Arabidopsis thaliana: one gene and its partner. The protein of the gene in region 2 interacts with the protein of the main gene of each other region in a pairwise test. Each region holds a gene or a part of one and is shown on either strand. Other genes may lie near its edges.

Region 1 (17,284 bases), on a different chromosome or scaffold from region 2:
AGAATGGATAAGCTGCATGAAGAAGAACTATACGACACTTTCCAAATCTTTTGTCTTCAAGAAGGGTTCTAAGGTGAAGAGGATTCGACAACCTCAAATCCAAATCCTTGTCACCAAAACTGGCTCAAACAACAAAAGAAAAGGAGAATTTTCATTACTACAAACCTCTGAGCATGAGTTTCTGTTTCTGTGTAAGGTTTGTTTGATAAAAAGATCAGACTTTACTAACATCAATCATATAGTTGATCAAATCTTGCATACCCGGTGTGAATCTGCAAGGGCAAGTCGCGACGCACAGCGACCTCCAAACTAATGGTAAGGATGTAGTCAATCAAGCCCTTGTTTCCTATGCGGACAGGCTTTCCAGCTGCAGCAATATTAGATTTTAAGGTGATCAGACAACAACTATGTTACTTCTTGATAGACCAAGCACAACCATCTTACCTCGCAAGACTTCAACAAGGCCATTCTCAGCAACTTCTTTACTCACATAAGTATCAATATCCAAACCGCTACGATATGCAGCAATAGTTTTCAAAGCAACAATCTCTGGAACAAGCGTGACCGAAGTAGTCAAGGTTAACCAATACTAGTGAGTATAGTCACAATCATTAAGCGTGTATTAAAAAAGCAAAGATAAAAGGATATGAATTTAATCTTTCAACAAAGGTTTTGGTGAAAGAATCTAAATCCCAAACAGGCGGTTCAGTACTCTCAGAACCATAGAAATAACCACCAGGACACTCCTCTTCGAGGATTTGCTCGGCAAGAGTTTCGATACGCAACACTCTACCAACGAATGGAACAAAGTTTCTATGCCATTCAATATCATGTTTCTTGTCTAGCTTTAATCCATCATCAATGAGGAGAGCAGAGATTCGAGCTTCTTTAAAACACTTGGAAGTAAAAGAATCCAAACCCGAGGTTTTACGATGTTCCTCAACCGCTTCTAAAGATACTTCAGTGCCATAAAGTTGAGCAATCTCCCTCAAGTTCCTCTGTTTCATTCATACAACCAAAAACATTCATACCAACTTCACGAGATTCCTAAACAAGTCAACATCTTTTGAGTAACACTCGAAACTTTAGTTAACTAATACTTTTGAGACTAATTAGGAAACTTTAAGCTAACGTTTTCATTAATTAGAATCTGATTCAAACGAAAACTAACTAGAGCAAAAACACTTGGTATCGTCGTGTACCTTGAAGGAGAGAGAATGAGGAGCGAAGGTTAAAGCGTCGCCGGCAGCCTCGGAGAAAGTTCCGATGAACGGAAAAGATGAGTCAAGAGAGACAATGTTGTGTGCGTGAGCATCAACGAGCTCTATCTTCTCTATTGCTTCCTTTAACTCACTAAACTCCATCTCCGTCTCTCTCTGTCTAAAGTCAACAGTTCGATGTTCTTGATTCGTGTTAATCTTCTTACAATCTTCACAGTTTATTACAGGAACGGTTTTAAAGCATAAGTGAAGAAGATCCAATCAAATCGTTGACTTTTCCTTGTCTGATTTGGTCGGTGGCCGATGTCTCTGACCTTTAAACTTCACGACGGCGTTTAGAGGAGAGTGATGAGCACGTGTCCACGTGAAATACATTAGCCTCCACGTGTCCTAACTAGTGTGGATAACTTTCAACTGTGTTCTTGGTTTTTCATTTTCCAAATTCCGGTTCCTTGCCAAGGACAATCTCGTTTTAACAAATTCGAATTCAAAATTAAATTGGAAAAAGCTCCATTTGGTTCTTCCTTCATCAATCCAATCCTTTAAACCGGACAAGAAAAAACTGATTAATGCTAAATTTTTAATTTTGTAAATCCAAATTAAACCGGCATCCAAATCAAAACTAAAACCATTTCATTATATTTTACAAACCGAAGAGAAGCTACACCAAACCGGAGAAGAAGAAAAAAACGAAGGAAAAACAACGGTATCGTCGTCGTCTTCTAGCTCTGCTTTCTACCCAGAAAATTTGCAGTTTCTTTTTCTCCACCTTATCTTTCTACCATTTTTCTTCGATGGCATTGATACAAAATCCTGTTCAAGGAACTACTTCCGCGTACGCCAATGAGATCGCACAACTTGGTTTTTCTCGGTAACATTCTCATATTTCATACAATCATACTGTTTTGAATTTTACGTTTCTTTAATTCTTCAGTTGTGTTTATATTAAATCTATCTTTCTCTGTTTCTCATTCTTGCAGAAGCGTGGTTCAGCAACATATATCTTCCCCTGTTTATTTTCGGTGTATACCAACTATTTCAATAACGCCCACAATGTGTTCGACAAAGGTCCCCAACGAACGTACAGAGAAAATGAATTCTGGTTTGATCTCAACAAGACACCAAGTAGATCCTAAGAAAGAATTGTCTCGGATTCTGAGAACAGATGCTGCTGTGAAGGGCATTGAGAGGAAAGCCAATTCCGAAAAGTACTTAACTTTATGGCCAAAAGCTGTTCTAGAAGCTCTTGACGAAGCTATCAAAGAGAATCGATGGCAGTCTGCTCTCAAGGTACAGCTCTTTAATCCTTCTTCATTCTTACAGATACTTGGACATAGATTCGATAGAATTCACTTTCCTGTTTCTCTACTTTATAGATTTTCAATCTTCTTAGGAAGCAGCATTGGTATGAACCAAGATGCAAAACTTATACAAAGCTGTTTAAAGTGCTTGGGAATTGTAAACAGCCTGATCAAGCCAGCTTGCTTTTCGAAGTTATGTTATCTGAAGGATTGAAACCAACCATTGATGTGTATACCTCTCTTATCTCTGTTTATGGCAAAAGCGAGCTTCTAGACAAGGCGTTTTCTACACTTGAGTATATGAAATCTGTTAGTGACTGCAAGCCAGATGTGTTCACCTTTACTGTTCTCATCAGTTGTTGCTGCAAACTGGGTCGGTTTGATCTGGTTAAAAGTATCGTTCTTGAGATGTCGTATCTTGGAGTTGGATGCAGCACGGTTACTTACAATACTATTATTGATGGGTATGGAAAGGCTGGAATGTTTGAGGAAATGGAAAGTGTTCTGGCTGATATGATCGAGGACGGAGATTCTCTTCCGGATGTTTGTACGCTTAACTCGATCATTGGGTCATATGGAAATGGTCGCAACATGAGGAAGATGGAGAGCTGGTATAGTCGGTTCCAGCTGATGGGGGTGCAACCGGATATCACTACATTTAACATACTGATCCTGTCATTTGGAAAAGCTGGTATGTATAAGAAGATGTGCTCTGTTATGGATTTTATGGAGAAAAGGTTCTTCTCCCTGACGACTGTCACTTACAATATAGTGATTGAGACGTTTGGAAAAGCTGGAAGAATTGAGAAAATGGATGATGTATTCAGGAAAATGAAGTATCAAGGAGTGAAACCAAACTCAATCACTTATTGTTCGCTTGTTAACGCGTATAGCAAAGCAGGTCTTGTCGTTAAGATAGATTCGGTTTTGAGGCAAATTGTGAATTCAGATGTGGTACTGGATACACCGTTCTTCAATTGCATAATCAATGCATATGGTCAGGCTGGTGATTTGGCTACAATGAAAGAATTATACATACAAATGGAAGAGAGAAAATGTAAGCCTGATAAAATCACTTTTGCTACTATGATCAAAACCTATACTGCTCATGGGATATTCGATGCAGTCCAGGAACTCGAGAAACAAATGATTTCCTCTGGTGAGAATTTAGATATCCTCTAAGAAATATAATAACTGAGATAAGAGATATATCTTGAGTATTGCAGCTCTATTTGGTGGTTGAATTTGTTTCTGAACTATTCTTCCTTTACTGGGTTTTAAGATATAGGCAAGAAGAGGCTTACGGAGTGATGCTTTAGTTTGTGAATGAGCAAATCTAATGCAGAAGGAATTTAGAAGTTGTGAATTGTTCCAACTAAGAGAATCACTTGAGGTAACCTTTTTGTTATAAACTGTTATTTTTACTCTAAACTTCAAGATAAAATGGAGACACATGCTTGTAAGTTTAAGTGTTTGTTCAGGTGTTTGGAGCGTTGGTTAGCAAGATCCCAAGAGAGGCATGGCCATTACTAATGAGAATTTGGGTCGGTTCTGAAATAACCAAATCAGCATTGGGGAGAAAACGTAATGATTCCAGTCAATGTAAGTAATAAAAGCCATCACTAGTCTAAATGTTATGGTCTATTTTTCACATGTATTAGAAAATATTATCACATATTGTGTCTGTATATTTTGGATTTGTTTTCATCGTATAGGTTGGGACAGCTGTCTAGAACCAAAACTCAATTCAAAGTTTTCTTGGTAAAGTAAAATATAATTTTCTTACGCAGGCTCTTTAGACGGGTCAAAACAAACTGTGATCTAAAACTTTATCGTAGCTATATACACATAAATTATTTTCCAACATCGTATTATATATATCATTTGTAAAGAGTGGCCTGCTTTTCAAGCCTTAAAAGATCTTTTTTTTTTTTCCTTGTAAGATCTTCTACAATGTGTTCTCATGATCCTCTTCACTTCGTCGTAATACCCTTTATGGCCCAAGGCCATATGATCCCATTGGTCGACATCTCTAGGCTCTTGTCCCAGCGCCAAGGCGTGACTGTCTGCATCATCACAACTACTCAAAATGTAGCCAAGATCAAGACTTCACTCTCATTTTCCTCTTTGTTTGCGACTATCAACATCGTTGAAGTTAAGTTTCTGTCTCAACAAACGGGTTTGCCAGAAGGGTGCGAGAGTTTAGATATGTTGGCTTCAATGGGCGATATGGTGAAGTTCTTTGATGCTGCCAACTCACTTGAGGAGCAAGTTGAGAAAGCTATGGAAGAGATGGTTCAGCCGCGGCCAAGCTGCATCATTGGAGACATGAGCCTTCCTTTCACTTCAAGACTTGCCAAGAAATTCAAGATCCCCAAACTTATCTTCCATGGGTTTTCTTGTTTCAGCCTCATGTCTATACAAGTGGTTCGAGAAAGCGGGATCTTGAAAATGATAGAATCAAACGACGAGTATTTTGATTTGCCCGGCTTGCCTGACAAAGTTGAGTTCACGAAACCTCAGGTCTCTGTGTTGCAACCTGTTGAAGGAAATATGAAAGAGAGTACGGCCAAGATTATTGAAGCTGATAATGACTCTTATGGTGTTATTGTGAACACTTTTGAAGAGTTAGAGGTTGATTATGCAAGAGAATATAGGAAAGCAAGGGCTGGAAAAGTTTGGTGCGTTGGACCTGTTTCCTTGTGCAATAGGTTAGGGTTAGACAAAGCTAAAAGAGGAGATAAGGCTTCTATTGGTCAAGACCAATGTCTTCAATGGCTTGACTCTCAAGAAACTGGTTCAGTGCTCTACGTTTGCCTTGGAAGTCTATGTAATCTTCCCTTGGCTCAGCTCAAAGAGCTGGGACTAGGCCTTGAGGCATCTAATAAACCTTTCATATGGGTTATAAGAGAATGGGGAAAATATGGAGATTTAGCAAATTGGATGCAACAAAGCGGATTTGAAGAGCGGATCAAAGATAGAGGACTGGTGATCAAAGGTTGGGCGCCGCAAGTTTTCATCCTCTCACACGCATCCATTGGAGGGTTTTTGACTCACTGTGGATGGAACTCGACACTAGAAGGAATTACTGCAGGAGTTCCATTATTGACATGGCCTTTGTTTGCTGAACAATTCTTGAATGAGAAGTTAGTTGTGCAGATACTAAAAGCAGGGTTAAAGATAGGAGTAGAGAAATTGATGAAATATGGAAAAGAAGAGGAGATAGGAGCGATGGTGAGCAGAGAATGTGTGAGAAAAGCTGTGGATGAGCTAATGGGTGATAGTGAAGAAGCAGAAGAGAGAAGAAGAAAAGTTACAGAACTTAGTGACTTGGCAAATAAGGCTTTGGAAAAAGGAGGATCTTCAGATTCTAATATCACATTGCTCATTCAAGATATTATGGAGCAATCACAAAATCAATTTTAAATTTTGGTATTTGGCACCAGAGAAAAACAAAATATATGCTTATAAAATAGTGTTTTATTTTCCATGTTAGATTAACAATGTTTCATGTGTCAAAGGTGCTTTTGTGCTGTATATATCCACAATATCCAGACAGAATTTGTTTCATACTTTTGGACCCATATGTATTAAAATATAGGTTTTTGTTATTAAACTTAGAGCCCATATATAAGTCTAGTGGGCCTGGGTAACATATCTTCTCTAGAGTTTACCAAAAACTCATCTCCATTTAATATTTTGATTCAAAAACATCAAATTATATACAATGAGTTAAACATATAAAATTTAAAAAGCATAAAGAGGTTGCTGTTGCTGTCACATTAAATGAAGAAAATAAGTTATATTAGTATTTCAAAGACGACCAAGAGAGGATCATCGGCAAATGACTTATATTGAATCGTTTTTTCTTCGTTTAATATTAGTCTATTCAGTTTTCTGCTAAAAAATATTTGAAAAATCAAGTTTTTTGGCACGGTAGTTTGGAACTTTGGATCATCTTCATGTTAATGTGTTGCGTAAGAAGATATTTCCAGTCATCGATTTTGATTAGATTAATATATGATACTCATACTAGTCAGTCCTTTAAGGGCCGGGTAAGATTGCAGAATTGTTTTCAAAATTTCGGTGAATCTTCTTTTGCAAGTTGTTTTATTTGATTCATTTTTGACATTTGGACGTGGCTTTGCTTTTCTCATATAGTTTTATTGATTAAAAGTCTAAGTTTATTGATTGATTCGTCTCAATATAATTAGTCAAATATGAAGATCTTGTACATAGCTGATCGCAGAGCAGTTAGTGAAAGCCATGGTTGTCTTCTAATACCAATGATTGGTAATTGAAGACAGATACACATTACATGAGTAAGAGATTTCAGTATTTTTCTTATGCAAAAATAGGCGTGCTCCATCAAACAAAATGAATATATATACGTAGACACAGTTGCAAAGTGAAACTATGTCATATACTTTTAAACAATTCAACTAGAGCGGATTCTTTTTTATTCATTTGTGTTAAAATATTATGTTTTGCTCTAAATGAAACTATGAAATATACATGATAGTGTGTTTATTAGAATTTTTATTTACAAGTTGTAAACAAAGACATAAAACAAGAACGGAAAAGAGAACATTTGAAGATAAATGTTCAAATAATATTTGATTACAAAAAAAATAATGAAACTTGTTATCAGTAGAAGACGACTTGTGAAAAGCAATACTATGTATACCATTCATGTTGTAAATATGACAAGGAAACCAAGTGGTGGTAGTCTACTGGTTTCCACTTGAGCAGGAATTGCCCGGTTGGTCCAGGCCAGGGATCGATTCCCCTCAGGCGTGAAATTGCTAGTTATTTTTATTTGGCCAGAGACTTTCACCTGGTTTTCTCCGGACCCTGCATGGATTAAGGGTCTAGGCCCCGAACCTCCTGCTTATCAAAAAAAAAAAAATATATGACAAGGACTCATATTTAAAATCCCATCAATATAGAGACAAATTAAGATTACCCAAAAGGTATGAGTGATACACGTCAATGCTCCAATATTCCAAAAGTTGAACTGGTCTTACGTTGGTTTGTTCGCCACATACGCACAATTTGAACGTTTCAAAGAGTCCTTTTTCATGCAGACAAAAAAATATGTCCTTTTCAGACGGAACTCTAAAAAGATAAGGAAAATATGCCGTGGTGTTTGGTGTTTGTTTATTCAAAACGAATGCTTAAATTAACTATCACAACTATATGATTTTCTTGGGCTAAAAGCTAGCTAGCTAGGTATATAGTTTCCTAATTAGTTTGTAGAAATGCCTTGACTTAAAATATTTTATGAACTTTTGATGATAAAAAATTAAACTTGGGAAGTATTTTTTCCCAATCTCCAATATATGTATATATTTTTTTTTTTTAAAGGCTTAATCTCCAATATATTTCGATGGGCAACCTACATAACCGAGGGTTGAGATCATACATTAATATATAAAAATATATCCAAGTTGTCATTCATTATCTTTTTTTCTTTCCATACATTATCTTGTTCTTAATTAGTCATCAAAATAATCTTTTTAGTATACATATTCTGATAGACAATAACTTTATAGAATATCTCAATCATTTCGCATCAAAAGTATAGATTCGTTTGCCCAAAAAAAATAAAAAAGTTATAGATTCGTTCATTACAACCAGATGAATTTGATTCCAAAAATATAAATTAAAAAATTACATATCGAATATCATATCTTGTTCAATCTATCTTGACTTTGAGATAGCGCCTTTGATTTTGTTTTCCTTCTCTCTTTCTTTCATGCGATCTTGGAACCAATGTTTGGAACAAAGAAAAACAGGAACTCCGTGAACCTAAACCTACGCAAAAAAGACTCTTTATTATGAGGAAAATAAAATCACATTTTGTATAAAATTAGAAGTCCTAATTCTTCTTCTTTTGTTCAATTTAAAGCTCAACGTGAACTCTTGTACAAATGTGTTGAAATTCTATCGAGTGCTAATTTTAAATTGATTTCATTTGCATTAACAAATCGATCTCTTTGAACACACCGGAAAGAAATTAAATGAAACTCATGTAGATTAACGATGTGATCGATCATGTGATAACCAAACAAATAATCTATCTTTAGGTGGAGACAAAACCATAATCAATGGAACTCTAACAGCCCCATCGGCCAAGCTTGACCTACTTGGTACTTCTTTATACAGAAGTCGTAATACAAAATAAACCAAATTAAGATAACGATATTTTTATATATATAGTTGTCTTTTCGTAAGTGTCAGTGAATATTTAACTTGTTTTACTAATAAATATTTAAGATAAGATTCTTTTAACTTAAATTTACATATCTCACTGGATAACTCAACATTTTTTTTTTTGTTTCATTTGTGAATTTTCCTTGAAGTTTTCCTCACATATATATTTTCCTTGAAGTTTTATCTTATGTAACTCATTAAGTGTCATGAATGACGTAACTCATCACCGTCAGCGATTTTTTTTTATAAGAATGAGGGTACATGATTGGTTCTCTAAACAATAGTTCTTTTTTGGTGACTTGTTCAAAGTCAGTATATATATACAGCTTTTGATGACTTTCCCAATTAATTAAAGGTCTCTCACCAGATGCATTCACACACGTATATACACATTGTCGAATTTTGTATATGCATAAACATTTGCTAAACCCAAAAATGGAATCAAAAATAGTTTCAAAAGCCAAAAGACTTCACTTTGTTTTGATCCCTCTCATGGCTCAAGGGCATCTGATCCCCATGGTCGACATCTCCAAGATTCTTGCACGACAAGGCAACATCGTTACCATAGTTACAACCCCTCAAAATGCTTCTAGGTTTGCGAAGACAGTTGACCGAGCAAGATTAGAGTCGGGTCTCGAAATCAATGTCGTTAAATTTCCAATTCCTTACAAAGAATTCGGTCTTCCCAAAGATTGTGAGACTCTGGACACTTTGCCCTCCAAAGACCTCCTACGAAGATTCTATGACGCTGTGGATAAACTCCAAGAGCCCATGGAACGGTTTCTTGAGCAACAAGATATCCCTCCAAGTTGCATAATCTCCGATAAATGCCTTTTTTGGACGTCAAGAACCGCAAAGAGGTTCAAAATCCCGAGGATCGTGTTCCATGGAATGTGTTGCTTCTCTCTTTTGAGTTCGCACAATATCCATCTTCATAGCCCGCACCTCTCGGTTTCTTCGGCCGTAGAGCCATTCCCTATACCAGGAATGCCACATAGGATTGAGATAGCTAGAGCTCAGTTACCTGGTGCTTTTGAGAAGTTAGCAAATATGGATGACGTTCGCGAGAAGATGCGTGAATCTGAATCAGAAGCCTTTGGGGTTATTGTTAATAGCTTCCAGGAATTGGAGCCTGGCTATGCAGAGGCCTACGCTGAGGCCATCAATAAGAAGGTATGGTTCGTTGGACCCGTTTCTTTATGCAACGACCGTATGGCTGACCTATTCGATAGAGGAAGTAATGGTAACATCGCAATAAGCGAGACCGAATGCTTGCAGTTTCTTGACTCGATGAGACCAAGGTCAGTCTTATATGTTTCTCTTGGTAGCCTCTGTCGACTAATACCTAATCAATTGATAGAACTAGGTTTAGGGTTAGAAGAATCGGGAAAACCCTTTATTTGGGTGATAAAGACCGAGGAAAAACACATGATTGAGCTAGACGAATGGCTAAAACGCGAAAATTTTGAAGAGCGAGTTAGAGGAAGAGGGATAGTAATAAAGGGTTGGAGTCCTCAGGCTATGATACTCTCACATGGTTCAACCGGCGGGTTCTTGACTCATTGCGGTTGGAATTCTACAATAGAAGCGATATGTTTTGGTGTACCAATGATCACATGGCCGTTGTTCGCTGAACAATTTCTCAATGAGAAACTCATCGTGGAGGTTTTGAACATCGGGGTTAGGGTTGGGGTGGAGATTCCGGTGAGATGGGGAGACGAGGAGAGACTTGGAGTGTTGGTCAAGAAACCGAGTGTTGTGAAAGCTATAAAGCTTTTGATGGACCAAGATTGTCAACGTGTAGACGAAAATGATGATGATAATGAATTCGTGAGACGAAGGAGACGTATTCAAGAACTTGCAGTAATGGCGAAAAAGGCTGTGGAAGAAAAGGGATCTTCGAGTATTAACGTTTCAATTTTAATCCAAGATGTTTTGGAGCAATTGAGTCTCGTGTAGAAAAATCGAATGTAGAAGTTGACATAAGATTTATAAGAATAACACCAAACGATTTTTCTTTTTGCCAAAGAAGAAAAATTCATATAGATATAATGTGCATAATATGTATACTTTCGAACTCTTCTCTTAGCCTAATGAGTGATTTAGAAATACTCTTGAAATCATCACTTAAAGAGTCTTTTTTCCTTTTTCTCGAAAGATGAAACTTATATATATGGAAAATGCCTTTTAAGGATGCACTTAGAATATAGACTTTAGATTATTACATCTTGATGAAAATATTAATGTCTTCACTAGATATCTCAACTCAATTAACAAAGAGGTCTTTTGATTCATTATTTTGAAGCTTTTAGAAATATGAGAAGAAAAATGCTTGAATATTACTTCTGAAACTCTAAGATGGTGTAGAAGTAATCAATGTAGAAAGGTCGAAAAGTAGGGAATCCCGCGGAGAGACCAAGCTCTATAAACTCTTCTTCGGTTCTATGCTTACCTTTGGTTCTATAGATGGTCATGACAAAGATGTCACCTTCTAACAAGGCACGAGTCCGGTGACTTTCATCGGTTTCCTTAGGCAAGACCGGCTCACACGCAATCAGCTTTCCTCCAACTGGTAACGCGTTGTAGCAATTCTTCATTATCTGCTTGCATTCTTCATCCGTCCATGTCGTTAACACCCACTTTACACTCAAACAACAATATTACAAGATATTAATTTGGGACCAGAGAAGCAAAAAATGTGTGTATTTGTTTGTGTTGTTCTTTCAACAAACATGAGATCCCTATCCATGGTCTAACAGATCACAAGTTTTTGGTTTGAGAAATGTATAATCAATATTTAAATGATCATAAATAAATGAAAGTGACCAGTCGCATGATCTAACGATAACTAAGACTATATACTACCAAACATATTGTCCGAAGCGACTTATAAATTTATACCTATATCACTAAACATTAAAACTATATACAGAAACTAGAATTCGTCCTATTAGCAAAAATGTTAGTAGGTGTATTCTCGTGACAGACAATAATGTTACAACAAACCTTCATGAAGATAGCGTCAGCGCTAGGAACTGATTGGAACATATCCCCACCCACGTGAGTCACTCCTAAACCATACAATATATCATCCATTATTACTCCGTACATTACTAAAAATAGCTTTTTACTTTCAGAAAATAACGTACGTACAATATATCATAAATACAAAATCTCACCAGGAATATTGGGGGCTTTGGCAACAACTTCAGGTAAATCGAAATTAATCCCTTCACGGACGTTAGGAAATTGTTGAAGGATCATACGCAGACAATCCCCTGCACTACCTCCTACGTCAACCAAAATATCCACTGATTTAAACCCATCGTAGCCGTCTAATATAGCTTTCATGAACGGTACAGATACGCCAGACATTGCCTTTTGCATTAGACCATTCATCTCCTCACTTTTCCCATACTGAGCGTATGCCGCCTCGCCGTTTGCTTTCACGTACGGCTCTGTCTCCGGCTCCACCACTGCCGTGTGAACTAGTGGCCATGCTCGCATCAACGCCTCCTGTAATATATATCATTTTCACAACAAGTTTTAGACATTAGTTTATTATACCATCATTAGTCCTTTAATATATCACTCCAATTTTGGAAAATGAAAATGAGTCATAAACCTGGTGATGTTGGAGGACGTAGGCAGCGTAAGAGAGGCCGCCGGAGTCGGTTACAAGAGTTTTTCCGACGTCCGTAAGAGAGTATTTCCTCTCAATGGATCCAACAAGGTGTTCGGAGAAGACACCGTAGCTGGTGAGCATCCGAAGTATACGCTGAAGATTCTCGGGGTCGCCACCAATGGTAGTGTGAGATGGTAGGTGGAGGCGAGGGAGGATCTCGGCGGCAGAGAGAGGAGAATTGGCTCCGCCGTTCCAAATGGCGTCGGCAATGCCTAGTCGCACGGCGGCATTGAGAGACATGGGAACGCTAATCATGTTAGCAAGCTCCATAATGGCAAGACGAGCTCTGTTTCTACTCTCTGAGCTTTCGTTCTCCATTTTTTTTAATCTTCCTCGTACGTGAAAGTGAAACTACACATCGCTATAGAACCCACTAGTATTGGTTTTATATGGTTTTATATGGTTTTTAAGGTTAATGTTACGTGTGGTCCATATGGAATGGGATGGTTTTAGACCTTAGTCTATTATTTAGAAATTCAAAAAAAAATAAAATTTTGATTTTCGTAATTACTGAAAAATGGAGAACAAACACAAGCTGTATGAAAGTTTGATTTGAAATGATAACACAATTACCAAACTTTAATGGTACTAGCATCTCACTGTTCAAAATTCACATTTCCGATGGTACAACTATTTTCCATAATTCATTTTTTTGTGGTTATTTCTCAAGAGTACTATGAAACAAGTCCATTCACACCAATCAATTATCATGAAAACATAAATTCTGGTTTTTACCTTTGGCTCACCTTCATATACAATCCCTGAAATTGAAAATATCAGCATTAGAGAAATTGGAATCATTCTAAACAAAACAGACACTCTCATTAATCTCTCGAGTGTGAGAACATTGGCATACATTGGTGGTGTGTATGGTTGCTCCTGTGGTCATGCTAATGGTCTGATCAGGAACCAGCTCAACGTTTAACCGCTGAAGAAACACCGCGAGTGCCACAATTGCCTCCATCAATGCAAACTGATCGCCTACACATTTTCTAGGCCCTCCACTGAATGGGATGAATCTGGTGAAAAAAGAAAATCATCTTTTAAATTCCCTAATCAAAACCACTAATCTTGATTCAGTAGTTTGTGTCAAAAGATGTGTTCTACTGAGTTTACTTGAAATCAGTGTTTGTTTCGTTAGGGATTGCGCCATCTATGTCGAATCGTTCAGGCAGAAATTCCTCAGCTTTTTCCCATACCTTTGGAATAACAAACAACAAACACATAAGAAATGTGGGCATGAATGTAATACTAGGAATGTCCACTCCGGTTAGATATCCGAACCACACAAAGATCATTGAAGAGAAGGATTAGGCTCCCCTATGTTATACTATGGACGAGAGAAGGAAGAGAACTGTACCTCGGAAGAACGATGGATGTTATAGACTGAAATCATAATGTCTTGTCCGGTATTGACCTTATAGTTCCCAGGAAGAATGTCAGGAACTTGAGCTCTTCTTATCAAGACCTACCAGGAAACAAATCAATCAGAAAATTTAGTTCATGAATAATTAGAGAGATGAGCTTGATTGCTTACAGGAGGATGAGGATAGAGACGCATTGACTCGTTTATACAACGAGTGATGTACTTCAACTCCTTTATATCCTCGAAAGCCGGGTTTCTTCCTTCTAACACTCTGTCTACTTCTTCTTGTGCTTTCCTTAATGCAGATGAGTTCTATGAACATAGAGAATTTGAAGAGGTAAATGAGAACAGAGAAGCTCCCATCCAAGTAAATTCTCTAGCATAGCAAAGTAGAAGATACATTAAGGTACCTTACTTAGGAGATAAAGTGTCCAAGTGAGGACAGATCCAGTGGTTTCATGACCCGCTACGAGCATTGAGAGAAGATCATCCCGTAACTGCACACTTGATACCTGAAAACCCTCACAATGCAACATCAGCTTCGATTATGCGATAATGAAAGGCCAAATTTGCTTATAAACTTAAGGAAAAAAGTTTAAACCTCTTCTCTGCTTGCAAGCAAGAAACGCAGGATACTTGGGTCAGCATCATTTACATACTCCTCATCATTGATTCTTTCGCCTTCTCTTTCGACAATTTCTTTACACTTAGCAATAAGGTCTTCAACAGTTTCCCTTATCAAAGTTACAGCCTTTTCAGCTTTCACCTGTCTCGGGACTATCTTACACAATGCATCGATCTGAAAAAAACAACCAAACCCTCTCAATTAACAAGAATCCAATTGTTCCACACAATCAACAAACCACAGAAAAAACACAGGAAACTTGCCTTCCAATATGGCAGAAGATCAGTAGAACGAAGCTCAGCTTCTTTAAGAGCAGTGTAAACAGCTTCAATGACAGGACTATCAGTAGTCAAAGAATCGAAATTGTAGTTAAAAAGAGACAACCCAATGACATCAAGTGTCATCTGAGAGAACTTCGCTTCCATATTCACAGCACTTCCGTCTTCTGCATAAGGCTGCAACTTCTCAACAAGCCTCTCTGCACATTTGCAGAATACTCTCTCCACAATCACAGACAAATACCTCCTGTGAAGCGATGGAACCACCGCTCTACGCCTCGCCTATGTAAAAAATCAGACTTCAGCTAAGCCCAATAGAGAAGATTGGAATCTAAACCCTAAAATTAGAGTTACTTATCATACAAGACAGTCACACATTACTTCCACAATTCCAAAAACTTCAAAATTGAGATAGGAGGAGATGAAATTACTGTCCAAAGAGGTCCTTCAGCGATAGCGAAACCCGAACCAAATAGAAATTCAGAGACTTCAGCGACTAAGCCTTTAGCGTACTTTGGATAATTCCTCAAAACATGTTTAGCTATCGCTGGGTCGCTCACAATTACGAAATTACGAGGACCAGCAGCGAGACGGTAAATGGGTCCGTACTCATTCATCCATTTGTAGAGAGGTAAGAAGAGAGCACCTCCGAGGAGATCAGCGACATCGTCGAGCTTCGCGTTCGCGATTGGTATACCTGACTCGTCGTTTTTTCCTGAGGAAAGGGTACGAGTGAGTGTTGTGAGCCAATCGGGACTGACCCATGATTGGGATTTCGATGAATTGGTCTCGAGTTTGGGTTTGGGTTTCTCAATGGAGGATCTGATGGAGAATGTGAATTTGGGTTTTGGTGATAAAAGACGCGTAGGTTTTGCAGTGAAGAGAGAAGAGTAAGAAGAGGAAGATGGAGAAAAGAGTGAAGACTCCATTGATGACCTCTTTTCGAAGCTTCCGTGCAGAAATATTTGACTCTGTGTAGAAACGCGAACCGTTACGCGTGGATAAGGACGACGATGCATAAAACGACTACGTTTTGTTAATCAAAACTTAATATGGGCCTCCTCGTATTTGGGCCTTTTAAAAGCAAGTAGCAAAATCTGAAACGAAACAGAGAAGATCGAATTTTCTTTGAAACTCTGTAAACTCTGTTTCTGTAAAGTTGTTAAATTTTGTCGATCTGGTAGGAAGAAGAAGTACAAGAGAACAAGAAAAAGTCAATTCCTTTCGTTAGTCGGCGAATTCTAGAAACGATGTTCAATTTCTGGTATGATTTTGCGAATTTTTTGCCATCTGATTCATATGTTATTGATGAAATTGCGTGATCCAGACATTAGGTCTGTTAGCGATTAAGGAAATCTTGTTGTTGTGTAGTTTGTTGAGCTATAATGATATATTTGAGGTTTTTGAGGTGAATTGACAAGTGTAGATTTTGCTCAGCTACTGATTTAGGGTTCATAGTTACTGATATTAGGTTTACAATGATGTGCTGTATAAATGCACCTTTCAAGTTTATGAGGTGATGTATTATATTAACTTGGAAGCTGAGATAGTTAGTTGATGATGTTTCTTTTTTTTGTTGTGTACGTGAAGGGGATCAAAAGACCAACAACAAGGGCAATCTCGTCCTCAGGAAGCTTCTTCACAGTCGCCATGGTACTCGCCTTCTTTAGTTAGCTCGCCAAGCTCATCCCGGCCTCAAAGTTCAGGTCAGATTTCAGCACAAGTATCACCGGGTGAAGCAGCTGGCATTATCGTCTTCTTGAAAGACAAAAGGTTTGCTCTTTTTGTTTGTTTGTTTGTTATCCTTCTCTCGAGTGTGCGTTTTTTTTGTATGTCTTCTTTTTGAATAGTGTATACTTTTCTGTAGCGTGGATGAACTCAGGAAGCTTCTCTCTGACAAAGATGCGTATCAGCAATTTCTGCTCTCTCTTGACCAGGTCAAAGTCCAGAATAATGTAAGTCTCTAAAACAGTCAGTTGTTTCTGGATAGCTAAGAGTATTACTATTAATTGTAGTCCTAAGAATGGAGCTTCGTTAGTTATGTGTTGATATTATTCATTGGTGCTCTTTCAAGTATATACATTGATATTGTTTGAGGAAGCCTTTATCATGGCGTCATCTTCTACATGTTGCCAGTAATTAGAGCTTTCTGGTTCTTTGTTATAGTCTCTAAAACAGTCGGTTGTTTCTGGATAACCGAGGGTCTTATCTGTAGCTCTAAGAATATGTAGCTTCTTTAGTTCTGTGTTGATATAATTCATTAGTGCTCTTTCAAGTCTATACATTGATATTGTTTGATAAAGCCTGTATCATGTCATCAGCTTTCTGGTTCCTTGTTATAGTCTCTGGACGTTAATTTTTTCGTGATTTGTTTCTGTCCGTCAGATCAAAGATGAGCTCCGTAGAGAAACATTGCAGCTAGCTAGTAAGTACTCTATGGTTCATGTAATTCTACAGGAAACTTTAGTTCAATCCAGAAATCTAGAACTTTCCATTTGATCAAATGTAACAGGAGACAACTTGGAGAAGGAGCCACAGATAATGGAGCTCAGAAACCAAGTGTGTATCAAGAACCAACTTTTCTTGTTCAGTT
Region 2 (15,947 bases):
CCATGTAAACTTGACTGCAACAGCAAAACAACAACAATCAAATCTCCTAAAAGCAACACAACATAGGCATTGTAAAAGCCTAATCATACAATCAAAAATCGCTTCAAAGGCCAATAATTTATCAATCCCAAGTAAAAATTAAGCCTTTTGAATAACCAAAGAGTGAAATTGAATTAAAGAGAAAGTGAATAACCCGTAAGTGCCTTCACCAATTTGTTCGAGCTTCTCAAAGCAATCAACGCTGCGAGATCCCCAGATTGGAGGAGGTTCCTCGAGATTTAGCTGCCCGAATGATGCCATCGCCATCTTCGTTCCCGGGAGTCCCACTGTCGAACAATATCTTTTACTCCGATGATCAAATTACGTCTTTCTCGATCGCTTTCCTTTTCTCTCAGACAACTCTCTCTCCGTAGGTTTCCCAGCTTATTTATGTAATTAGCGTTTCGGTTTAAATCTATGAATTGTCCGGTTTGAACCGGTCTAACCCTGAACAAGCGGTTGGTGTAAATTAGCGATCATCCGTTAAATTTAAATAAAATAATGAAAGAAATATCAAATATCATTTTTATTGACCGGTTTTCAAAAATACCACAACAAAAATAATCTTTTCAAAAGTATTTATTAAAATACAAACTCCATTTTTTAAAAATTGGAATTATGGGATTATGTTTCTTATGTATCTTTCTCATCATAAAAGACTTGACAACAAAATTGTTTAACATGCCAATGCCAAGCACACTCACAAGTCACAAAAAAAAAAAACAAATTGCAATTACAAAAATCATACATTAATTGTTCTATAAAGTAAACATTCATACATTTTGATTAATATTTATTTTTCAAGCTTAGATATATTATAAAGAAAGAGAAAAACTAGTGGACACTCGAACGCCCTAGATTTACTGCTCGAGATAAAATTTGATTTTCGTAAATAAAATTGGAGGCGAATTTGAGAAATCCCAAAAATAGCGGGAAAATTAAGAAAATCACTTAGGTTTTCCAGTGGGTTCACCGTCTGTGACAAGAGGTGCGATAGGAACAGATTACTCCTGAAGTGTTAGCGTGCTTATCACGCCATTTAACCGTGTACACGACCATTCTGGTTCAAAGGAAGAACGAGAACATTCGAATCTCGACCAAACCCTAGATCTCGGTTTCTTTACCTACAGGAAGACACGATTCACTATCTCCCTACTCATTGTCAAACCCTAACATCGGCTATTGGTCCTAACTCCTAACTCACCCGATTCAATTTAGGTTTCATGCTAACATCGGTGAAGGACGGTTATTTCGGAAGTTTGATTTTGGTGTGGGTAGGTCTAATTTTGGGTTTTGTGATTTCTAGGAAAATGTTTCTCTATGGTCATTCACTTGAATCAAACCCTATACATAAATCTTCCCTTCTTTTGTTTCGTATGGATGATATTTCTTTTATCTCTTATGAATCATGCTAGGTTTTTTTTCTTGTAACCGATATTAGAGTTCGACTTGGGCGATGGGAAAGATAGATAAGTATCTTAAGTATGTGCTATATATGTTTCTTGAACTTGATCCGTTGATGTTTTGGTTTTGTTTAAGTTTGTTGGTCCACAATGATATGAAAGATATATAGGCTTTTTCTTCTTAGTTTTATGAACTTACTATATATATAGGGAATCTGACTGATGGAAGTTTCAAAATGAACTAATGATAAAATAATGTTAAGACTATATATAAACAATGTTCTCATCCAATCCACTGTCTGTAGAAGAAATTGACTTGCATATTTGGTTCATATTCCACAATGGGGTTGAGATATGATCCTACTTACTGATTTTTCTGTCTGATGGTGTAGTTTTCAAGCTAACCAAAACATTCCTCTTCCAAGCTACTTTCTTCTGTGGGATGATGACTACGTAGTGGAGTTGTTCTACCATCTCCTACTATTCTGGTGATTTCAGTGATATTTTATTCTTGTGTTTCTTAATTCAAGGGAGTGGTCAGCCATTTGTGACTTCTATGTCCAACACGTATAACTATCCCACTTTCTGGTCCATAAATGATGCAAAGCAACACATATTTAAGTCTACATTGGCAATGAGAAGCCTCTGTTACCATGTTTCAGTTTCAAGCTGTAGGAGTTTGCTATCGAAGGTCAGCAACCAGAGTTCAATTCAGGTATCTCATCTCCTCTTGGGGTAGCTAGCAAAACTGCAGGATTCTAAGTTGTAATAATTCTGATGTCTTGTTGTTGTTGTTGTTGTTGAGTGCTGCTTGTTAATGTGTTGATTCACATGTTTGCTTCATGTACAAGAGAGTTTTCCAGATTTTTTATCATCCTAATTGTTAGAAAACTAAACAGTTGAAATAGCAAATTAGCAATGATCTAGTCCATGAGAGGATTTACCTAATATAATCTATCTGAGGGTATAAGTCAAAGGTATTCTGAAAGATCTATCTGCCCACAATATTATATTGTGGAAATCGTCAAATTTATAGACTTTTATGCAAAGTTTTATTGATTTTTTTTTTTGGTAAGAATTATCTTAAGTTGTGGTTGGCATCTGCAATCGTTGTGTTGTTCACATCCATCAGTCTACAGTTTACTAACAGATTCTAATCATGCATCTCAAACTGTATCATCATTTGTTTAGTGTTATTATTATTTTTGGATGAAATTCTTAATTTGTGTTTTTCCGTGTCTCTGAAAAAGATAGGGACAATTGTGAAGCTCAAAAGAATAGGTTAGTGTTTACTTAATGTTAAGTGCTACTAATCTAGAATAAATACAAAAGGTTTAGGACAAAGAGCAGATCTAAAGGTGACTTATAAGGTTTGCTCCTGGATAGCTTTATTTTCTTTATTGGAACTCAATTTAAAGACCTGACTTAATTACCAACCCCAACCATGTGTTTTAGAGTTCGCACAGCTTTTTATGATGCTTTTGTCAAGATTATTCTATTGTGTATCCTGTTCTTTACGTATATGTTCATGCAGAGATCTTCGTACTTTTTTGAGTCAGGCCATGTGGCTTACTTTTTCATGCAAAAAGCTTCCCCGGTTTTGTCTTTAAACTCTTACACTTTCGTGAAAAGATAATTCACTTTAGCCTGTTTGCTTTAGCTACTACCTTCTTAAAAGCAACAATGTTATTTTTACAGGGTCTTTCAGATTTTCTCTTTGTCTTCTGCTTGATGCTTGCTGGTGAGTGAAACGATGAACTCAAAGAACATAAACGGCGAGTGGTGTGGCCACCTCTCTTAGGTTCTGAGGTTTGTTGGTGCTTTTAGTTCCCATATCTTTGTCTAATCTTTAACTAGTTTTACTTCATTCTATACAATTTTTATTTAAGCAAATGTGGTTTCTCCATGCACATATAAACTTACAATGATAAGAGTATTTCAAAATTGTATGGTTTTATCACTGGTTTTGAGCTATATTGATTGGTGATGTTAAAGGGACTGTCTTGGGAATGTCATATTTTCAAGCACATAAATCATGAAAAAGTTGACAGAAATCTACCTTTCCACCTTTATCACATGACTGGTAAAAGTTAACAAACTTTATTCAGCTGTGCCTTTTTTGTCCCCCATTTGTCAAAGTGAAAGCTGGACTTTTTATACTTGTTTAAGATTTATTTACTGAAATAATCTCGTTTCTTTGGTTTATAGTAAACAATCTTGTTTGTTTGGTTTATACTTTGCACTAACTTCGTCTAGTTTTCCTCGTAAAACTCAAATTTCAAAAGGTAGTTTATATGTTCAAGAAGATATATGTTCAAGTTGTCTAGATGTTAGTGCAGATTTGTGAAACTAATAAAGATTTACATACATTATTTTCAACCATAATAATTGCCTATCTGTCTTAGTATGTACTGAAGGTGGACCTTTGATGAAAATCCCTATAAAAAGCTTTTAGTGAGAAGGCACCACTAACTTGGTGAACTCAATCAAAACCGACTTGATCATAAAGCCACTACTAATCCTTTTTTCAGTTCTAAACACTCTTTTTTTTCTGTACCACTTTGCAATAGATGCATGACAGATGATGCTTATATACCATGATGAGGAGTGGTAGGTTTATTTCCCATATATATAATTTTCTTTCTTCTAATTTGATGATTAAGATATATGTTTATATAATATACCCAAATAAACATAATCGCTGGCTTGTTCTATGATGCCTAGTTAACTTTTTTTTTAAACTACTTTCTTATTTGATGATAGCTACTAGTTCTTCCCCTCTGAGCTCATGGGTTTTTCTGTATGATGATTTCAGTTTGGGCTTTTTTAGATTTGGTCTAACAAAATTTAGGTTAAACAATCCTAAATGTACAACATGCTATCCTATAGTAACCTTCTCTTCTAATACATGCAGTGGGCTCAAAATTAATTGTTTGAATCTATTTCTTGGCAGGAAGTATCATTCAAAAAAATATTATATGAATACCTTAAAAGGGTCTTGGAGATGCAAATTCTTGAACAAGAATAGAAAGAGATGTGATCCTATTGGCTTTCCTGGTAAAACAATCTTCTGAACTTCATAGTGTATCTTCTGAAGTGGTTCTATTCTTGAAAATTTAGAGAAATTTGTCAACAATGACATCGTGAAATCATAATTTCTTTCATTTCGTGATTTCGTCTATGTTCTGAACTTGGTAGATACTTGTGATGGTTTAAATCCTGAATTATTGCTTCCTCTAGATTTAGTTGACACACTGGTTACATGCACGGATGCACCTAACTAAGTACGAGCTAGATTACCTCTTGTCATTGAGCAACTTTTTTTGTAGGAAAGACCCATTAGGTATAGGTACACATTCCTCTATAGTTTTCCTTCTTTTTGCATATAGTGAAACTTTATTCGTATTATAATTCCTCTTCATCTGTTTTTCCTTTTATATATGGATACATTTTACTTAATGATAGATACTATTAATGCATCCAATATGTGTAGAGCTCGTGGATGACATATATATTTTTCCGTTGTTAGCATCCATGTCTTTCACTGTCTTGAGCTGTAAAACGATGTCCACGACAAAAGAAGTTCAGCCACCTAAAATGACATTTAGTGGTTGATTGTTAACAAAAATACCGCTTAAGACCACACAGTTTAGGGCATATAATATTTGACTGACTTTATATAAACTAATGGTAGACATTCTTGTTCTTTCTTTTTTTCTTATTTGTCATGTTCTCGAGGTTTCTTGTGACGATGCTTTTTTTCTAGCAGATGTTCCAGCAATGTTGGGCGTAACGGTTGAGAAAAGTATGTGCTAATTTACTATTCTAAATGAAGAGTAAGCAAGAAGATGTTGAACCGGTGATTTCTTGTTAATTTCTCTTTTCAGATTTGAATAATATACATGAGTTTCAAAAGATTAATGCCTTTTAGATCATTATCATATAAAACTAATCCTTGACTATGCGTAACCATCATTAATTTGATTACTACAGATAAAATAGAAACCAATTTCTGTATTCCAATAAGATTGCTACCATATGAACAGTTGAAAAAGAGGATGGTCATGAAGATTATAGGTTTATATACGTGTGCATGCGTGTGTGATGTTACACGTGTGTCTCATATTTGTTCTTCTTGGTTTTACAGTCACCACTCTCGTCACTCATTGGAATTTCATTCAGGAACCTAACCTATGCTGATGATATTCGAATCACGAGCATCTTGGTTAATTTCGTCTGACTTCTGTAAGTATCAAGAGTTTAATCATTACTGCAGATAAATCCTCATACACAAACTTATAATTTGTGTTTTATCGATTTTGTGGAACTTAAAAGTTGGTTGCAAAATGCTTGGTATCATAAATTGATTAAAGGTATATTTGCAGATGATCTCGAGTTTTGCTTTTCACATTTACATTCAATATATAGGTATAATACAAGGGTTAAATATTTTCATTCGTTACATAGAAAGTCCGAGCTTTTAGACGCGTTGGTTTGAAACTTAGGAGAAGAAGCAATTCAGTTGTTTAGCTGACAATGAAAACCAAGTTGTTGTTGTTTTTTAATTAGAGGAAAAGAACGGTTTAAGTGACATCACATATTTCATAATTAATACTTTTGTAAAAAACCTATAGTGCTTTCCTTAATTCTTTAATATTTTCTTCACCTGCTTCCTCCACTCTGAGAGGAACCCTAATTCAACAAGCAATTATAATCTTTCTTTCCCTAATTTTAATTGAGTTTTTGTAAGAATTATTTCGTCTTTTTTTTTTTAATTTGTAGGCTTCTGTTACCTAGGTCTGATGATACTTCTAGAGTCGTAGGCTCAAATATGATGCAACGAAAACCATAGTGTACATCCAGATGCTACCATGGAGTTTCAATGTATAATGAAATAAAATTAAGATAATGGCTTTTATTAATCCTCTTCTGATAGATGGCTTTATAATCTTCTATATATATAAGGAACGTTATAATTTTTGGGTTCTCTAGGCAATGTTAGTTTGTCAAGCTTCATGTATATCTGTATGTTTATATTTGCAGTGAAGGTAGAAAATGAGTTGAGTGAAAATATGTTAATGCAAATCCATACAAAACCTGCTCAGAGAGTCAGAGTATCACATTTCACTTTCACCTACAGGCTACAGTTACTGAATACACTAAAATATCTTCTAGAAACTGACAGATTTGATGCCCTCATTTGGTAAAACATCTTCTTGTTTGATTTTTCTCTATTTCTTAATTAGATTTTGTTTCTTGATATTATGTCGTTCAGTTTGAATTTTGTGCACGGAACCTGTGATCTTCATTATATAGAAGACACAGAAGAAAAAGACAAGAGCTCAAGATATGCCATTGGGTGCAATACTTAGGCTGAGGGAGAAAGTCTTATAGGTTTTAAAGATGGTGGAGATTTAGATCATTTTCTGCACCCACCTCTCCCCTAACCAGCTCCTCCCTAGTGGTCAAAATCTGTCATATCAAGCCTGTCACCATCATCAATAGTAAGTACTTCTTCTGATTATACCCAAACTTGCCCCTGACTTACATTGACATTCTTTCTGATCTGTCCATTGCTATTGCTCGCTGAAATTTCATTGAATGCGCTTAGGAAATAATTAAGGATGATTTTAAACATAAGCTTACAAGTTTTCTTATGTATTGCCACAAAATGATACAAAACATAATCTTACAAGTTTTCTTCTAACGATATAGTGTATGCTTTTCCTGTCGGTTTCTTCATTTGGTATCTTTTCTTCCTAGAAAAATGCATTTTAGGGATTGGCAATCTCTGTAAGTAATACCTTAAAATTTGCTATATATGGACTTAATCATGATGTGTCAAACAAGAAATTTACACGGTCATAACAAACCCACTCTGCATCTTTTTCTTTTACACTATTGGACCACTTTACATCTTTTACTTGCTTTAATAATCTCTCAGGACTTTTTTGAAAGATTCTCATTTTCAGCGGCAAGCTCTTAGGGTTCATTGCCTTCCGTTTTGTTTAGTTGGTTGATCATAGCTTTAATCGGTATGTAGAAAAATACAATAAAAATATAGCTAATATGAAATATTAAATGCATAAACTAATAGGCCATGGAAATGGATGATGCGAGGAAAACCTAATTTTGCGTGCCAGAGGAGATGTCTCTTCTTTGGCCACCCTCTTGTTGCCATGTGTTGTTGGCGCTGACTTCTATATTTCACAAATTCTTTCTCATTTTATTTGTCATTCCAATGATTAAAAAATACAACCTAAAAGTTTAGCCCTCCTGTCAAATATCCTTTATTGCCCTTCTCCTCCATCATCACCTACTCGGAGAAGATCTTTTATGGATTTCATAAGAAAGATGATCTAACCTTCTTGCTTTTAGTTGATCTGTGTTTTTTTATGAGCTGAACCATTCAATAACCTAGACTAGAGTTTTGGATTGTGAAGAGACCAAGCAATAACTATGTGTTGTTGTTATTCTTCTTGACAAATGCAGGGGTTTGGTACTAGGGCATAGTGATGGCAACTAATGAACTGCTTCCCAATTAAAGACAAAAAACAAATCGATTGTTATGTGTTTGTCCGTTGGAGACGGCTGTTCCCGAGATGATACTGATGTTGCTTTAAGACAAGAGGAAGAATTTACATTGAATGATTTTTATCACACTGGTAAAGGAATGCGTATGTGAGAGTATAAAAGAAAATGATTAGAAAAATGGAATTGAAAGGTGAAAGTGACATGGTTGTTTTGGTAGGCGAATAGGAAAGAAGCACGTGGTGAATGGACATGAAGAGAAAAGGATGCTAGGTTTAATATAAATTGGAATAAGAAGCAGTTAGTGGTTGTGAAGGAAGGAAGGAGGCAAGCAACCAAATCTCAGAGACAATTATAACAGTATAGAGAAGGAAGAAAGAAAAGAAAAAGAAACCGTTGTTGATTTAGATACAGAGAAGAGAAGATCATCTAACATGGGAAGATCTCCTATCTCTGATGACTCTGGTCTCAAGAAAGGTCCTTGGACTCCTGATGAAGATGAGAAACTTGTCAACTATGTTCAAAAACATGGTCATAGTAGCTGGAGAGCCCTTCCCAAACTCGCTGGTAATGCTTTTGTGTTCTTTCTTTCTTGAAAGCTTGTCTTAAGTCTAAGCTTCTCATGTGATTCTCTCTGTGCAGGTCTTAACAGGTGTGGGAAGAGTTGCAGGCTAAGATGGACGAACTACTTGAGACCAGACATCAAGAGAGGGAGATTCTCTCCGGACGAGGAACAGACTATCTTGAATCTTCATTCAGTTCTTGGAAACAAGTAATTAATCTTGTGATGATTGTTTTGATGTTTTAGTCAACGGTTTTGTTTGTGTACCAGATTATCTTATACTGATTGCTTATGAATGATGATGTTATAAGGTGGTCAACGATTGCGAATCAGTTACCAGGGAGAACAGATAACGAGATCAAGAATTTCTGGAACACTCATTTGAAGAAGAAGCTGATTCAGATGGGTTTTGATCCAATGACTCACCGTCCAAGAACCGATATCTTCTCCGGCTTATCTCAGCTCATGTCTTTGTCTTCTAACCTGAGAGGCTTTGTTGATCTGCAACAACAGTTTCCTATTGATCAAGAACACACTATACTCAAACTCCAAACCGAGATGGCCAAACTCCAATTGTTCCAATACCTTCTTCAACCGTCTTCCATGAGTAACAATGTTAACCCTAATGACTTTGACACTCTCAGTCTCCTTAACTCTATTGCCTCTTTCAAAGAGACCAGTAATAATACCACCAGCAACAATCTCGACCTCGGTTTCCTCGGCTCTTATCTTCAGGACTTCCACAGCTTACCTTCCCTGAAAACCCTAAATTCCAACATGGAACCATCATCTGTTTTCCCCCAGAATCTTGATGACAATCACTTCAAATTCTCCACTCAAAGAGAAAACCTACCCGTGTCTCCAATCTGGCTCTCGGATCCATCCAGCACAACTCCTGCTCATGTGAATGATGATCTGATTTTTAACCAATACGGTATTGAAGATGTCAATAGCAATATCACATCTTCAAGCGGTCAAGAATCAGGAGCTTCAGCTTCAGCTGCATGGCCTGATCATCTATTGGATGATTCTATATTTTCCGACATTCCTTAGCCTTCTTTTGTCTTTACTTTCAGGTATGTACTTTGGAGGAACTCAAATCAAATTTACTCTTGGAATTGTGCTTGTTGGAGATTTTTATTTGCCTATCTATATATATATAAATACTGTAGAGACATCATATATTTGTAACTCATGTTGTAGAATGTACAGTACAGAGATTTCATACTCATATGCATATGTTGTTGTCAATGTTCTTTAGCATATGTCTCTGTGCACAGAGTTTATATATATATAAGATTTTTGTGAAATGGATATCATTTGTAGTTGTAGTTGTAGTTGTATGGTATTTAATAATTAGGGTTTTTGCTGATTATTTGAATCTTTTGTTTTACACTTCCTTCCATGGTGATAAGTGATAACATTCGGATCATGTATGAATATAGATGTCATAACAAATAATAGACAAACTGTTATTATGTGAATGAAAACACACAAAAAAAATCAAAGAGCAGTTTGTGTATCTTTAAGCAGAAAATCAAACAAATTAAAGCTAGAGACTAGAGTTTAAATATGTTAACATATGAAAGACCACGTATTTTGCTCTAAAACAACACATATTAGAGCTTGAATGTTGAGTTGTTTCATTATATCATTGGTTAAGTCTAAATGTTGATTTGATTGCCAAGAAGATCGATCAAATAATGGAAGAAGTGAAGAAGCATGTGATCGGCTGGCTAACGATAATATAAAAAGGCCAAGTAGAGATTTAATAATAATTAAAAGACAAGGCCCTTTAAGTATGTGATGTCAGATAAAGTGATCTCTCATTAGGTTTTATAGAAAAATCACTCATTGAATCTATTTTATTATTATTAATTTTGTTATAATGTTGAATTGACACATAATCGAGGCTTGTAAAGATCTTGTGCAATTAGGGAATTTACTTCATCCGTATCCAAATGATAATGATGTATAGATTTTTTTTGTCAATGGATAATGTATATTATTATCCATTCTTCAATCTTAAATATTTTTGGATATTTTCGATCATGAACATAAAAATCTTTAAAATACATTGCTATTGTATCTAACACAATTTAGAGATGATTAAAAATATGTTAATTTTTTGTTCTTCTTGTTTTCTATTCAAATATGAAAACAACGATTTTTCAATAATAAATATTAATTTTCATGTCAGAGAATACAGAAATCTTTATTTTGTGATATAATTAAAAAAAAAAATCATAAATTGAGTTGGCAAAACTAGGACAACTTGGGACAGAAAACATGTATTTAAAAGCCCATATTAGGCCCATATAAACGACAACTTTGTAATAGGCCTGACAGTATAAGACGACAAAAAGGTTTCTTGCGGTCAACGAAAAAAGTCAACAAAACATCATAGTTCTTTTCATTCACAGAATTTATTAAAGTCAAAAGATACATCATGAAACAAAAACAAGATTTATACAACTGATTTTACTTCTTCACCGAAGAACAAAACAAAAAAGTGAAGTTGGCAACTTTACAGTAAACTCAAGGTTTGATGTTTTTGGTCATCTTCCACCAGATAATTCAATGGCATCTTGGTTATGCATAGAATCTTCACCCCAATCAAATCTCCTCTGCAACCGTTCAAACTCATGACGTCTCGTGACTTCCACGTTTTGCCACTCTTCCCATCTCTCCGCAAGCCCTTCTCCTTCTAACATCCTCACAACTTCAGACATCACTGGTCGGTCTTCTGGTGAACCTTGTGTACAAAGCAAAGCCACTTGTATCATCATCTCTACTTCTTCTTTTATATACTCTCCATCCAAATTCTTATCTACGATTGCTCCTAATCTCTTCTCTCTTTCCAGTTTCTTCACCTGTCCAAAACAAAAAAAAGATCCAAAAGATTACGGTCAATAAAGCTTGAGAGAAGCTACTTCGAGGTAGGATTATTTGATTATACATACGTGGTCAAGTAACAAGACATCATCTTCTTCCTCCAAACGTGAAAAGTCTATTGCGCGTTGTCCTGTAACAAGCTCAAGAAGCATAATTCCATACCCGAAAACATCGGTTCTCTCTGATGATTTCCCTGTTGATAAATATTCTGGTGCAATGTGACCCATTGTTCCTCGAACTTGAGTAGTCACATTAGTCCTTCTAACATCTACTAGCTTGGCTAAACCAAAATCACCAACCACTGCTTCAAAATCTTCATCTAGTAACACATTAGCTGCTTTCACATCACGATGTATGATCTTCGGATTGCAATGTTCATGAAGATACTCAAAACCACGCGCTGCTCCTAAGGCAATCCGTTTCCTCGTCTCCCAATCTAGAACCGGGTCGCCTGCTTTGATCTCTCTCAGACGATGTGCAAGACTTAGATTCTGCATGAAGGGATAAACCAAAAGGCGTTCTGTTTGTGTGGTGCAGAACCCGATAAGACGGAGTAGATTCCTATGAACAGCTACACTTATCATCTCTACTTCCCTTTGGAAAGCAGCATCTCCACCAGGACTTTCGAAATCCGTCAATCTCTTCACAGCAACTTTGGTGTTATCCGGAAGCACTCCTTTGTAAACTTTCCCAAAGCCTCCTTGACCAAGTACATTCTTTTCGCTGAAGTTATCTGTCGCTAACTGGAGCTCTCTCCATGCAAACCTTTTCAACTGTCCAAATGCAATTCTCCTGTCCACTTCACCTGAAAAATAGTAAAGTTCCACAAATCTGCATATCAATACATCATAACATACCGAAATACGAAATACGAAAGAAAGGTTTCCCTGTAGGGTATATTACAGACCTGCAACATCCACAAACACATCACGTCTATATCCTTTATGCCTATCCTTGCAGAACAGAAACAACAAGATTCCAAAGAGAACAACTGTAACTCCAGCAACAACTCCAGCAATAATGCCAGTTTTAGGCTTGCTTGAATCACCTATCACCGCAGATTAGATGTTTTCAGTCTTTCATACTTTTGAAATGGTTGAAAATAAAGAAAATGCGGTCAGAGCAATCGCAAAGTGAAGTAGTTTACCTGAATGGGCAACCGCGGATACACAAGGGTGAGGTTGACGACCGCCACAATTCAAGTTGTTTGACGTGAAACTATAGTCGATTAGAAACAGATCAAATTACTGCTAAAGAAATGAGCATGCTAGATTAAACTTGAAGTAGTCAAACATACTTATATTTTGGGATCTCAAACAGACTTTGAGGAATCTGACCACTGAGACTATTGGAATCAAGCAGCCTGTAAACATAGTTTCAAACAATGGAATTAAGACAAGGATGCTTCCAGAAAGATGGTAAGCATAAACACAAAGAACAGTAACTCACAGGTTTAACAGGTTTGGAAGACCAGTGAGTGACTCCGGAATAGTCCCATTAAGTTTGTTCCTACTCAAGGTCCTGTTTAGCCAACACACAAGTGAATAAAGACATGAGTAATCCTTTTCTACGTCTTAAAAATGTTTTAAAACATGTGCAAGATTTAACAGCATTGTGAGGCGGAACTACTTACAAGAACTGAAGTTTCTTGAGATTACCGATAGTGGATGGTATACGACCAGTTAGCTGATTGTCCTCCAAATCCAAACTAGTCAAGCTAGTCAGATTTCCAAAGTCTTCTGGTATTTCACCCGTAATTCCATTTCCCTTTAAAGTACTATATATAAAAAGAAGGTAGCGAAATGCTCACAACCTAATATCTATGTTCTAGGATTTCAGACAAAAAGAGAGACTCAATCTAAAGCACTTACAGAGTCTTGAGATTTTCTAGGATTCCTACTCTTGAAGACAAGGTTCCCGAGAAGTTCATATCTGACAATGTACTGCAATCACAAATGACATGAATATAAATCTTCTCACATGGAAACAACATTGACTAATTCAGAGTTGTCATTAAACTTACAGAGAAGTGACAAAGTTTTTGTCATCACAAATAACTTGGGACCAAGTGCAAGGATTAACTTGGTTCTGATTCCAGTCACTTAGCTGATTCGGTAATGCACGTAAGGAGATCCTCAACGCAAACAGTGCATCCCCTGAAAATGGAAAAGCAAAGAATCATAGAGTTAAATCTTCAACCTGAACAAGCTCAGAAATTACCAGAAACGAAACAAGAAATGAGAGCAACAAAATAGCAGTTGAAAAGTAAGAAAAGGCATCACCTTGAGCATCTGGAGACACAAATGAGCATAAACAGGCAAAAAACAAGAGAGTAAAAGCCATAGCCATCTTCTGCAAGCTGAACATTCTCATCTCATCTCATTAATTGAGCTGGTTCCATCTACAAAGACACATTTAATAACATTACAACAAAATCTTTTTCTTACTTACTTTTAGTGGATCTGACACATTACAGAGAAAGATTAATGGAGAGAATCTCTTCAACTATGAATCAAAGACTTTCTAAATTCAACCAAACTTAGCTAAAAATAGGTCTGGTAAAGAGAAATTAGGGATAAGAATAAATTCCACTATTGAAAGGTTGAGACTTTGCATAGAAAAAGAGTCAAACGGATGCAAGAACACGAACATGCTCAATTTCCCAGAAAGATTAGTGACCAATTTTGTCAGACTTGATAACAATTCCAAATCTCAAAAACAGAGCAAATAAAAGAAGGAAAGAACCTCGTACCCAAGGAGAAAATCCCAAAAGAAGGAAACAATTATCGCTGATCGAAAGATTCAGTGCGGAGAGTAGAACCAAAGACAACAAAACAGAAAAAAGAGAAAGTGAAAAGCTTCGATTTTCTTGTCTAGTGGTAGACTTTGCGTTTTTTGGCAATTTCGCAATTATCACTCTCGCTCGCTAATGGCCTTTGTCTGAAAGAAAAGTCCAATGTTGGTCCACGAACTGCTTTTTCTCCGTGCAACTTGTAATTTCCCTAAATAACTAATGAACTTTGATAATGATGTTTGGAACGATGTGCTATTTAATTACGTGGATGTAAAAGAAGACTAACTAAATTGTCTTTTTCTTTTTTCCCTCCTAAATCTACTTATCAACTCTCGTTGTTTTTTACCTGACAACCATTGTGTAAATTGAGGAATGATTTTCGACATCATTGACAATGAGGCTATAATACAGCTGACTGAAATGGCCAACTATACACCACTCACTAAGACGAAATGGCCAGCCTAAAAAAAGGAAGCGAATCTCCCTGTACAAAGGAAAAGTTAAAAATTGGTACCAAAAGGCAAAAGGAAAAGGTTAAAATGAGTCAATAAAAGAGAGTCACAGTCACAGTGTTTCACGGCCCATGGGCCGGCTAGACTCAAAGAAGGAAGGGAAGCTGTGAAGATTCTCAGATCAATATGAAGATTAGGTCGGTTAACACTTAACAGGCACGTGTTTATCGTGTTCAATTAGTTCCGTTAATTAAGCCTTTTTTACGTCCATCTAATCGCGGATGTCAAAATCTTACATGTGTTGGTCCGTTATTAGATTGAAACTGTGATGTACTCATATATTTTTTTAAATGTCCAAAAAAATTAATGTAATTTAGCTAAGTGTGATTACAGAATTCTGCTTTATTTATTTAAAATATATCTAAATACAAGTATACAAAAGTATACAACAGCCGACCGAGGAGACTAGTAAATCTGAACATGTGTCATAACATAAGAAGTTATTAACAGCGTAACGTATATGAACCTTATCCCACTATCACTATATAATAATAACGTCATACTCATATCCCAACTTTATCACGCTATTCTCAAACAAGCAAAGAACCTTAACCAAAAAGAAAACGTCTACGGAGACATATGGAGAGGAAACATCACTTCGTGTTAGTTCACAACGCTTATCATGGAGCCTGGATCTGGTACAAGCTCAAGCCCCTCCTTGAATCAGCCGGCCACCGCGTTACTGCTGTCGAACTCGCCGCCTCCGGGATCGACCCACGACCAATCCAGGCCGTTGAAACCGTCGACGAATACTCCAAACCGTTGATCGAAACCCTCAAATCTCTTCCAGAGAACGAAGAGGTAATTCTGGTTGGATTCAGCTTCGGAGGCATCAACATCGCTCTCGCCGCCGACATATTTCCGGCGAAGATTAAGGTTCTTGTGTTCCTCAACGCCTTCTTGCCCGACACAACCCACGTGCCTTCTCACGTTCTGGACAAGGTTAACAATAAAATAACAAAAATAATTTTGATACTAGTAGTTTTTTATAATTTGACCAACTTATCTTAATACCATGAAAATAATTCTTGGTTTGGTTGATGATAATAATAAAGTATATGGAGATGCCTGGAGGTTTGGGAGATTGTGAGTTTTCATCTCATGAAACAAGAAATGGGACGATGAGTTTATTGAAGATGGGACCAAAATTCATGAAGGCACGTCTTTACCAAAATTGTCCCATAGAGGTATTGTTCCCACAAATCTCTAAA

The links.
Region 1: the proteins of AT5G10290 (region 2) and LUT1 interact in a protein complementation assay, tested with the Arabidopsis thaliana proteins (one large-scale study listed by BioGRID).

The regions. Positions count from the first base shown.
Region 1 is NC_003074.8:19,691,148-19,708,431, reverse strand, and holds LUT1 (Cytochrome P450 superfamily protein), read right to left. Parts: upstream 15,676-17,284; 5' UTR 15,621-15,675; coding exon 15,123-15,620; intron 14,974-15,122; coding exon 14,677-14,973; intron 14,588-14,676; coding exon 14,390-14,587; intron 14,301-14,389; coding exon 14,199-14,300; intron 14,101-14,198; coding exon 13,960-14,100; intron 13,891-13,959; coding exon 13,783-13,890; intron 13,622-13,782; coding exon 13,539-13,621; intron 13,442-13,538; coding exon 13,279-13,441; intron 13,184-13,278; coding exon 13,154-13,183; 3' UTR 12,741-13,153; coding exon of another isoform or gene 12,363-12,740; intron 12,254-12,362; coding exon of another isoform or gene 11,917-12,253; intron 11,809-11,916; coding exon of another isoform or gene 11,744-11,808; intron 11,377-11,743; coding exon of another isoform or gene 11,077-11,376; 3' UTR 10,890-11,076; downstream 1-10,889. Other genes in the region: NodGS (nodulin/glutamine synthase-like protein), read right to left, coding at 1-119, 262-367, 445-560, 649-998, 1,203-1,364; AT3G53170 (LOW protein: PPR containing protein), read left to right, coding at 2,015-2,091, 2,201-2,510, 2,597-3,680, 3,804-3,832; UGT73C7 (UDP-glucosyl transferase 73C7), read left to right, coding at 4,475-5,947; UGT73D1 (UDP-glucosyl transferase 73D1), read left to right, coding at 9,146-10,696; AT3G53140 (O-methyltransferase family protein), read right to left, coding at 11,077-11,376, 11,744-11,808, 11,917-12,253, 12,363-12,740; VPS37-1 (Modifier of rudimentary (Mod(r)) protein), read left to right, coding at 15,942-15,955, 16,282-16,464, 16,559-16,646, 17,077-17,116, 17,204-17,250. UniProt on the Arabidopsis thaliana protein: Heme-containing cytochrome P450 involved in the biosynthesis of xanthophylls. Specific for epsilon- and beta-ring hydroxylation of alpha-carotene. Has only a low activity toward the beta-rings of beta-carotene.
Region 2 is NC_003076.8:3,224,369-3,240,315, forward strand, and holds AT5G10290 (leucine-rich repeat transmembrane protein kinase family protein), read right to left. Parts: upstream 14,441-15,947; 5' UTR 14,183-14,440; intron 14,031-14,182; exon of another isoform or gene 13,832-14,030; 5' UTR 13,804-13,831; coding exon 13,713-13,803; intron 13,587-13,712; coding exon 13,454-13,586; intron 13,374-13,453; coding exon 13,302-13,373; intron 13,208-13,301; coding exon 13,064-13,207; intron 12,952-13,063; coding exon 12,880-12,951; intron 12,794-12,879; coding exon 12,728-12,793; intron 12,649-12,727; coding exon 12,578-12,648; intron 12,479-12,577; coding exon 12,338-12,478; intron 12,236-12,337; coding exon 11,499-12,235; intron 11,409-11,498; coding exon 11,094-11,408; 3' UTR 10,890-11,093; downstream 1-10,889. Other genes in the region: CDKC;1 (cyclin-dependent kinase C;1), read right to left, coding at 1-14, 194-306; MYB92 (myb domain protein 92), read left to right, coding at 8,408-8,540, 8,616-8,745, 8,847-9,588; MES5 (methyl esterase 5), read left to right, coding at 15,316-15,678, 15,792-15,923.